2 linked regions of the Macaca fascicularis genome follow. The protein of the gene in region 1 purifies or fractionates together with the protein of each later gene. This does not show direct contact. Links are inferred from orthologs where the notes say so. Each region holds a gene or a part of one and is shown in the gene's direction. Other genes may lie near its edges. The genes, in order: ANKRD17 and HOXB6.

Region 1 (4,566 bases):
TTATAAAATCTAAATCAGTAGTGGTGAGATACACAATGCAGTGCTTTGTTCTACACTGGACTCAGCAACGACTGTAGGAGAGGAATAGGCAGATGGTTACCACTCTGCATATATATTTACTATAGCAGTTATTACACTGTAAAGCCCCTGGAAACAGAGACTTTGATTCCACAAATTATGCACACAGTAGGCACATGATGAATTTTTGTTTGAATGAATTGATTTAGTCATTGCCAATTCTGCCATGGTACTCTGTAGAGTACTGGCAACTGCCCACATTTCATATGGTATGCCAATGCTAAAAAGAAAAAAATGCTAAAAAAAAAAAAAAAATCCAGGCATATTCAGCTAAACTTAGCAGTCTTAAAATGGCAACTATGTCAGCTGAGACATACTTTTAATCTTGTGCCAGTACATCTGTCTTTGATGTTTGCTTCATTTTCCTTATGCCACTATACTCCCACTAGACCAGAAAGGGATAATTCTGAGTTCAATGGGCTCCACTATCATTTCAAAAGTCCTGAAAGTTCTTTAGACACCTAAAAATGAACCCACAACCCCCATCACAATATTCCTTCCGAGAGAAGCATACTGACAATAATCATTATTTATGCCTGCTTCCAAGTTGAATCTAAGAGGGCCAGAAGAGCTAAATCAGGGTCATTCAGAGAATCGTCTACAAAGTCTGGCACAGACCACGCATCCTTCCCGTGTCTTCCTCCCCTCGTAAACTTGAGGTGTAATGATCTTAGACATCTCCTAATCGACTGCCTTCATATTACACACGTGTAAACTCGTAGAGGATGTCTATGAGCCAAGCTTAAACTTAGGTAACGAAGGCTCTTTTCCCAACACGACGCCATCTCTCATGATCCAAAGCTTTATCTCTAGATTTGGCGGTCGAAAAAAACGACCAGGAATAAAACTACGTACAGCAGTCCAGAACGAGGCCCCACCTCCCGGATCTGGCTGACTGGCCTCCCGTCAACAAAGTGTCTGGACCGCGCTTCCGCACCTCACACTGCCCGGGGCCGGCTCCTCTCCAGCCTCCCCGTACTCCCCACACATCGTAGCACAGCGCGCCCGCGGGGCCCCAGACCCGGCCCTCGAAATCTCACTTTCGCCTTTCGGCCGCCCGCGCCCCACGGCTCAGGCGACGGCTGATGGCGTCACTGCACTTCCGCCTGCGGCTGCGTTCTAATCACAAGCCAGGAAGGAAGAAGGGAGGGCTGCAGGGCTGTGTGTGCGGGAAATAGAGAGGAAAGAGAAGAAATCCGGGAGCTCGCGGGCGCTCCGGCTGCAATCGCGCCCCCCTTATCTGTCCCCGCCGTTCCCCTTCGGAACGTGCCCCAGGCACACTTCCCCGGCTTTCTAGTCTCCTCTTCTCTGGTTCTCCCGACACCCGGTATCCCTCTTAAACGCCTCACCCCCTTCCCTTGCTCCCTCCCTCTCCCTCCCTCCCATCGTCAGGCTCCCCGCCCTTAGTATCGCGAGACGAGGTGAGAGCTGGCGGAGCGGCGGCGGCGGCGGCAGTAGAGGTGACCGAGGCGGTGGCGGCGGAGACGGCACCGATTGCTGTGTCGGCCCCAGTGCGGCCGAAGTCGCGGTAGAGCGTAGCCCCCACGCCCCTCCCCCGTCCGCGCCCTCCCTCTTTCCCTGGGGATGGAGAAGGCGACGGTTCCGGTGGCGGCGGCGACGGCTGCAGAAGGAGAAGGGAGCCCCCCGGCGGTGGCGGCTGTGGCGGGCCCCCCCGCGGCGGCGGAGGTCGGCGGCGGCGTTGGCGGCAGCAGCGGAGCTCGCTCGGCCTCGTCTCCTCGTGGGATGGTGCGAGTCTGCGACCTGCTCCTGAAGAAGAAGCCGCAGCAGCAGCAGCACCACAAGGCCAAGCGTAACCGGACTTGCCGACCCCCTAGCAGCAGCGAAAGCAGCAGCGACAGCGACAACAGCGGCGGCGGTGGAGGCGGCGGTGGAGGCGGCGGTGGAGGCGGAGGTGGCGGCGGCGGCACCAGCAGTAACAACAGCGAGGAAGAAGAGGACGACGACGACGAGGAAGAGGAGGTTTCTGAGGCAAGGGCCTGGTTTCCAAGGAAGGAGGGAGGAAGGGACTGTAAGGGATAGGGGCCGAAGGTGGGAGGGGACTTTCAGTGGGACAGATTCCAGTGGGTTGATCTCTTAGGGGCCAGGCTTTCGACTGCCCCCTTTCTTCCCTCGGCCTAAATCGTGAGGTGTGGGAATGTGGGGGAGGGTAGCTGACACGTGGGGGTGGGAGGACCACGGAGTTCACAGAGTTGGTGAACAGCCTGTTATCATGGCATGGCTCACATGGTTAAGGATGGAGGGAATTGGTTAGATTCCCAGTTTGCACGCCGGGGGGTGGGGGGGGGGGGTGATCTGCCTGGGGCCAGTAGGGCCACCTTAGTCTGGGACGGGATCGGGATCAAAGCGGGAGGAGTAAAATAATAGGTAGATGAGTCTCTTGGGGACCAACTAGGAGGTTGTTCAACTTCTCCCAGCTGTGAGATGGAGGGGAGCAGTTTGAGGGGGACGTAAGGTTGTAATGGACTCAGAGCTAAGTGTTTGTGTATGTGAGGGACACGTGAGAAGCTGTACTTTTCCATACTGTTCTGCAGGGTTTTTCGTAACTATCCTGGCTGCTGAAGTAACTTCACTTCCTCGATCTTCCAAGGATTTTCGATGAGCTGATGCTGTATTTGTATACATTTATCAGTAACTCTAAATAATTATAAATGACCATATACATTTGTAAGTGGATGAAAAATATATTTGATCCTTACACGTACATACATGTCTTCAAATGTCTCGTTAGTGAATTAGAATTAAGCTAGGACCTGTTGTCCCATACTATGGGACAGCCAAAGAGTCGGCTTTGGAGCCAGGCCTGGTTGTGGTGAGTTGGAATAGGAAGGCCTCTCGGTTTGTCCTAGTGATCTGGTTTCATAATAACTTTGTAATTTTTCTTGGGTCCACAGACAGGCGGCGTTGCAGGACCTTATTCCTCATAGAAGCCCTTACAACCCAAAGGCTCAGTAAAACATACCATACTGACAACCAACTGAGTTAGCTTTACTAGTTATTAGCTCTTTTATCACTCTCTTGTCTCCTTCCTGAAATAGAATCTAGAAAAATCTTTATCTGGAGAGGGAAATCTTTATCAGCAGAGGGAAAACAGCTTTGAAGACTGATTTTAAACTTAGTTCTAAGAGGAGACCAACTGATTCGTCTAGAACTAACACTATTTATTCTCTTCCACAAACATGGAACTTATTTTGATGCAAGTCTGGTTTTCTGAACATTGGATTTATTGAATCCTGGTCTCTGTTGAAATAGGGAAGTACCTTTTAAAGGATTTGACACATGTCTATTTGTAGAAGACCAGACTCTCTTTTATCTCAGACTGGATGAAGTTACGTAGGTAGAGATATTAAGTGTTCAAGTATGCATGACAAAAATATGCCCCTCCTTGTTTCTATTCCCTTTTAGCCTGTTGGATTCTGAGAATAGGTTTATATTGATAGACTTATATTGGCCTACTTGGATGTTTAGAATAGTGTGTTGCTCTGGCTGCATGTGAAACAAGGAAGAGAAAGATGTGATGGGATCCTTATCCCTAATAAAATTTGTTACGGTACTTAGAATCATTCAATTGTATGATTCTTCTCAAAGGTGAGAAACGTTTTACAGATAAGTCAACCCTTTGTTTTAAAAAGGAGGAAAACAAGGTTTAGAGGAAGGTGGTTGTGGTGGGTAGTAGCAAAAGTAGAAATCAAAGTTTTCTAATGGCTCAGACCTGTACACTTTTTAATGATAATTTATTTCCTTTTATCACCCTTCTGACATCATTCAGAAAAATAGTTACTGAATGGCAAGGTAACACAATCATGCAGCTGTAGGCAGAATACCATTACTTAAAATTTTAAATTCTCCTGAAAATATTCAGCTCTGGTTTAGAGCCAGGTTATGATAGTTGAATGCACTACTCACTGGGATATTCTGCTGCAAACTTCACATACCTAGGTAGTTTTGTCCATTGGAATACAGCCTAATAAGCAGAACTTTTTAGTAATTCCTTAAATCATGAAGAATGGCTGTAAGTTTGTAGGTATGTTTATTTTGTGGGTCAGGTTTGTTTTCCTTTTATAATATAGGAATGATTATGTTGACTTTGACCAGCTATGGTAGTATTTCTATGTTTTTAACATACCTTATCCTGTCTTACATGGTATTAAACAATGGGTTTGTCATTTGTTATGAAGATGAGTCAGGAGAAATACGTGTAAGAAAGTGTACCCATTGGACGGGCGCGGTAGCTCACGCCTGTAATCTCAGCACTTTGGGAGACCGAGGCGGGTGGATCACCTGAGGTCAGGAGTTCGGGACCAGCCTGGCCAACATGATGAAACCCCATCTCTACTAAAAATACAAAAAAATTAACCAGGCGTGGTGGCAGGTGCCTGTAATCTCAGCTACTTGGGAGGCTGAGGTAGAAGAATTGCTTGAACCCGGGAGGTGGAGGTTGCAGTGAGCCGAGATTGCGCCATTGCACTC
Region 2 (3,659 bases), on another chromosome or scaffold:
GGGATCTGGCCTGCCCCCTCAGAACAGAAGGGTTGTGGAGAAGCAGGAACAATAACCCGAGGCTTGGAGGAGAGAGATCAGATCTGATAAACAGGAAGAACGATGTTCAAAACCTGGGGAGGAGGGTGTTTCTTCTTTGCTTGTCTTAGCGGAGAACTCTTCTCACCTTCTACCGACACAAAACCCTAGAAACAAATCTTCTTTAGTTCTCTCTCAAGGAGATTCGGAGACATGTACCCACCCCTCCCTGGAGAGAAGGGGCCCAAGCAACGCAGGGGTTAACTTTTCTGAAAACACAATTAACTTTTTCCAATCCTGCGTGGGGTGGGGGAGAGATATATTTATTTAATCACCCAGGAGTGGGGTGGTCTCAATCTAAACGCTCCCTCCTCCCTCAAAGGCACAGAGCCTGTTTCACAGATCCTACGTAGGTGGAACAGGACGCGCTGTGTTGTTGGGGAGAGAGAGAGAGAAAGGCGAAGGAGAAGGAGGAAAAAAAAGGTTGATAGGTTTGTGCGCGGGTCCCTCGTGCGGGCTGCGCTCCTCCTGGGTGCTATTTGACAATTCCTGCCTCTGCCATTGGTCAGTGTTGGATCAGATGGTTGTATTTCCTTCTGGCCCTCACTGGCACCTCGCCATCCCCCCTCAGCTAAAACCCAATCTCGGATATACTACTAATAGGCGCGGCGCTCGGACTATAAAACACAACAAATCATAAACCCGGCGGAGCAGCAGCGGCCGCGCGCGCCTCCCCTCCCAATGAGTTCCTATTTCGTGAACTCCACCTTCCCCGTCACTCTGGCCAGCGGGCAGGAGTCCTTCCTGGGCCAGCTACCGCTCTACTCGTCGGGCTATGCGGACCCGCTGAGGCATTACCCCGCGCCCTATGGGCCAGGGCCGGGCCAGGACAAGGGCTTTGCCACTTCCTCCTATTACCCGCCGGCGGGCGGTGGCTACGGCCGAGCGGCGCCCTGCGACTACGGGCCGGCGCCGGCCTTCTACCGCGAGAAGGAGTCGGCCTGCGCACTCTCGGGCGCCGAAGAGCCGCCCCCGTTCCACCCCGAGCCGCGGAAGTCGGACTGCGCGCAGGACAAGAGCGTGTTCGGCGAGACAGAAGAGCAGAAGTGCTCCACTCCGGTCTATCCGTGGATGCAGCGGATGAATTCGTGCAACAGTGAGTGAGACTTCCCGTCGCCGTAGCCCTGACTCCCCTGGGCCCCCACCCCGGGACACAGAACTAGTGAGCGCCCCCTGCCCCAATCTCCCACAGGGTGCTGGGTGGGCATCTCAGTTAGAAGATAGAAGAAGATTGGGTGCCTGCCCGGGATCTCTCGCTGTGTCTCCTATTAGGCAGGAGTTACAAAGTTTGCAAAGTCTCAGCCGCACTGGGAGTAATGAGGAGCGAGTGTGCTCTCCTGGGGCCCCTGGCCAGAGCCGGGGTTCCAGGACAGGAAAGGGAGCAGGGGCCCGCAATCACGGGCTTGGCTTTACTTTGCGCCCCCAGCCCCCCTCTCCCAGCCCTGGTAGGGTTCCCCAACCAAAGACGGCTCCATTAAAAACGGAGTGCGTCATGCAAGGGGGTAGGAGGTGACGCTGAAGAGGAAGAGTTGAGTCTGACTGGGACTGTGTTTCCCTGAGGGTGGGGGGCTGGGGCAAGATGAGGCACCAGGAAAGGAGTGGTAATCAGAGGAGGGAGGAGGAATAAGGGGAAGGAAGAGAGAGGGAGCAGGCGGAGCGAGAGAGGAAGAAACAGGCGCGGGGTCTCAGGTTGGATTATTTGTTGGCCTTAAGTCCCAACTGATGTCCATTAGCCGGACTCGAAAGTGAGGAGCCGTTAATGTGGACTATGGATCGATCTACGTCATTACGGATTAAGGGCCTGGATTTATCACTGGGTTGGCGGAATGGGGGTTGGGGAGAAAGATGGATGGAAAGCCAGGGAAAGACAAGATGCAACTAGGAAGAGACACACCTGACCAGCCCCTCCCCCCAGGCTCAGGTGGGAGTTCAAACTGCTCCTCCCTTCCCCCATCTAGACTGACGGCACAGGCCTAGGAGACCAGGAGGGAATCTGGAGGGGGCGCTGGAGGAGTGCGAAAGGGGGGAAGGGAACCGGCAGAGTGGAGGGTATCCCTGTACTGGCTGGAGTCTGTGTTCGAGGGTCGACTAGGGGAGGGGGCCCTGGGCCCGGTGACCCCAGGCCTCAGCATCTCCACTCTGCGTAACAGGTTCCTCCTTTGGGCCCAGTGGCCGGCGAGGCCGCCAGACATACACGCGTTACCAGACGCTGGAGCTGGAGAAGGAGTTTCACTACAATCGCTACCTGACGCGGCGGCGGCGCATCGAGATCGCGCACGCCCTGTGCCTGACTGAGCGGCAGATCAAGATATGGTTCCAGAACCGACGCATGAAGTGGAAAAAGGAGAGCAAACTGCTCAGCGCGTCTCAGCTCAGTGCCGAGGAGGAGGAAGAAAAACCGGCCGAGTGAAGGTGCTGGAAAGGGAGGGAGGACGCGAGGGGAAAGGCCTGTGGGGAGCCGAGAGGGTCGGAGAGACCCGGGAAGGAAGGCTCTCGGGTGGGGGAGCCAGGAGACCTGCTCTCCAGCGCACGACAGGCGAGGCCCAGCTCTCTCCTGGACGCCCCCGCCCGCACAGCTCCCGGTGGGTGCTCTGAGGCCTCACTACTCGAGCCCACCCAGCACCCTGCGCGCCCTTCCTTCCCGAGGAACTCGCCTCAGCCTGATCAGGCTTCCTGGTGAGAACTGAGGATCGGACTCACTTGATGTTTCCTGGAAGCAGAGCAAAATGCTCTTGTCCCTGTCGCGTCTCATTTCGTCCATGTCCCCCATGCACGGTTCAATGGTAGATTCGCTGTCCCCTCAGCGGAGGCCTTGAAGACTCCCTGATCCCAGACCTGTCGTCTCTCCCACCCCCTCCCCAAAGCCACTGGAAGGAGCACATACTACCTAGAAGTAAGAAGAGGAGCCTCAGAAGAAAACAAAGTTCTATTTTATTAATTTTCTATGTGTTGTGTTTGTAGTCTTGTCTTAGCTCGGGACGTGAAATACTTCGATGATGATGATAATAATAATAATAACAATAATAAAGATGTGAAAACTCGACGCTGGGTCACCTCCAATCCTCCCCTGCCGTTTTTCACTCTTCCCTCAACCCCCAGCCTCTCCATCTGTCTTGAGCCAGAATTCTTCAGCAAAAGCGAGAGCCCTGGCCCGCTGAAGCGAGCCCTGTTCGACTGGGAAGTTACAGCTGAGATAAAGGCTGGAGCGATCAGTCCTGCCCAGGCCCCAGCGCTGCGTTTCCCTGGTGCTGAGGCTCACAGCCGCCTCTCCCCGAGCAGACTTGGGGGATGGAGAGGGGCTGTTTCCCTCTCATTCTCTAGCCTCTCCTCCTGTGTCCACAGCACTAAGGGAGCCACTGAGGCCCCTAAAGCTCTCTTGCGGAGACGGAGCCATCGAGTCTGGGGGCCTCTGCAGCACTTTCCTGTGCTCACCTTCGCAGAGACCCCTGGCCTTTGGCCCGTCCACATGGCCAGGTTTTTTTGCCAGCCTTGGCCCTCCGCTCCTGGCCTGTGGCTCCGGAGACTAAAAAACGGGGCCACTGGGTATCTCTCGCCCTGTAGCTGAAGGCTCCAGGTGCCCC

The links.
Region 2: the proteins of ANKRD17 (region 1) and HOXB6 purify together in Homo sapiens (co-immunoprecipitation; 3 studies listed by BioGRID and IntAct, with this or other methods). This does not show direct contact. The link is inferred for Macaca fascicularis from reciprocal best matches to the Homo sapiens genes ANKRD17 and HOXB6.

The regions. Positions count from the first base shown.
Region 1 is NC_088379.1:60,726,278-60,730,843, forward strand, and holds the start of ANKRD17 (ankyrin repeat domain-containing protein 17), read left to right. Parts: upstream 1-1,501; 5' UTR 1,502-1,662; coding exon 1,663-2,067; intron 2,068-4,566.
Region 2 is NC_088390.1:58,121,395-58,125,053, forward strand, and holds the end of HOXB6 (homeobox protein Hox-B6), read left to right. Parts: intron 1-649; exon of another isoform or gene 650-681; coding exon 682-1,174; intron 1,175-2,228; coding exon 2,229-2,488; 3' UTR 2,489-3,119; downstream 3,120-3,659. UniProt on the Homo sapiens protein: Sequence-specific transcription factor which is part of a developmental regulatory system that provides cells with specific positional identities on the anterior-posterior axis.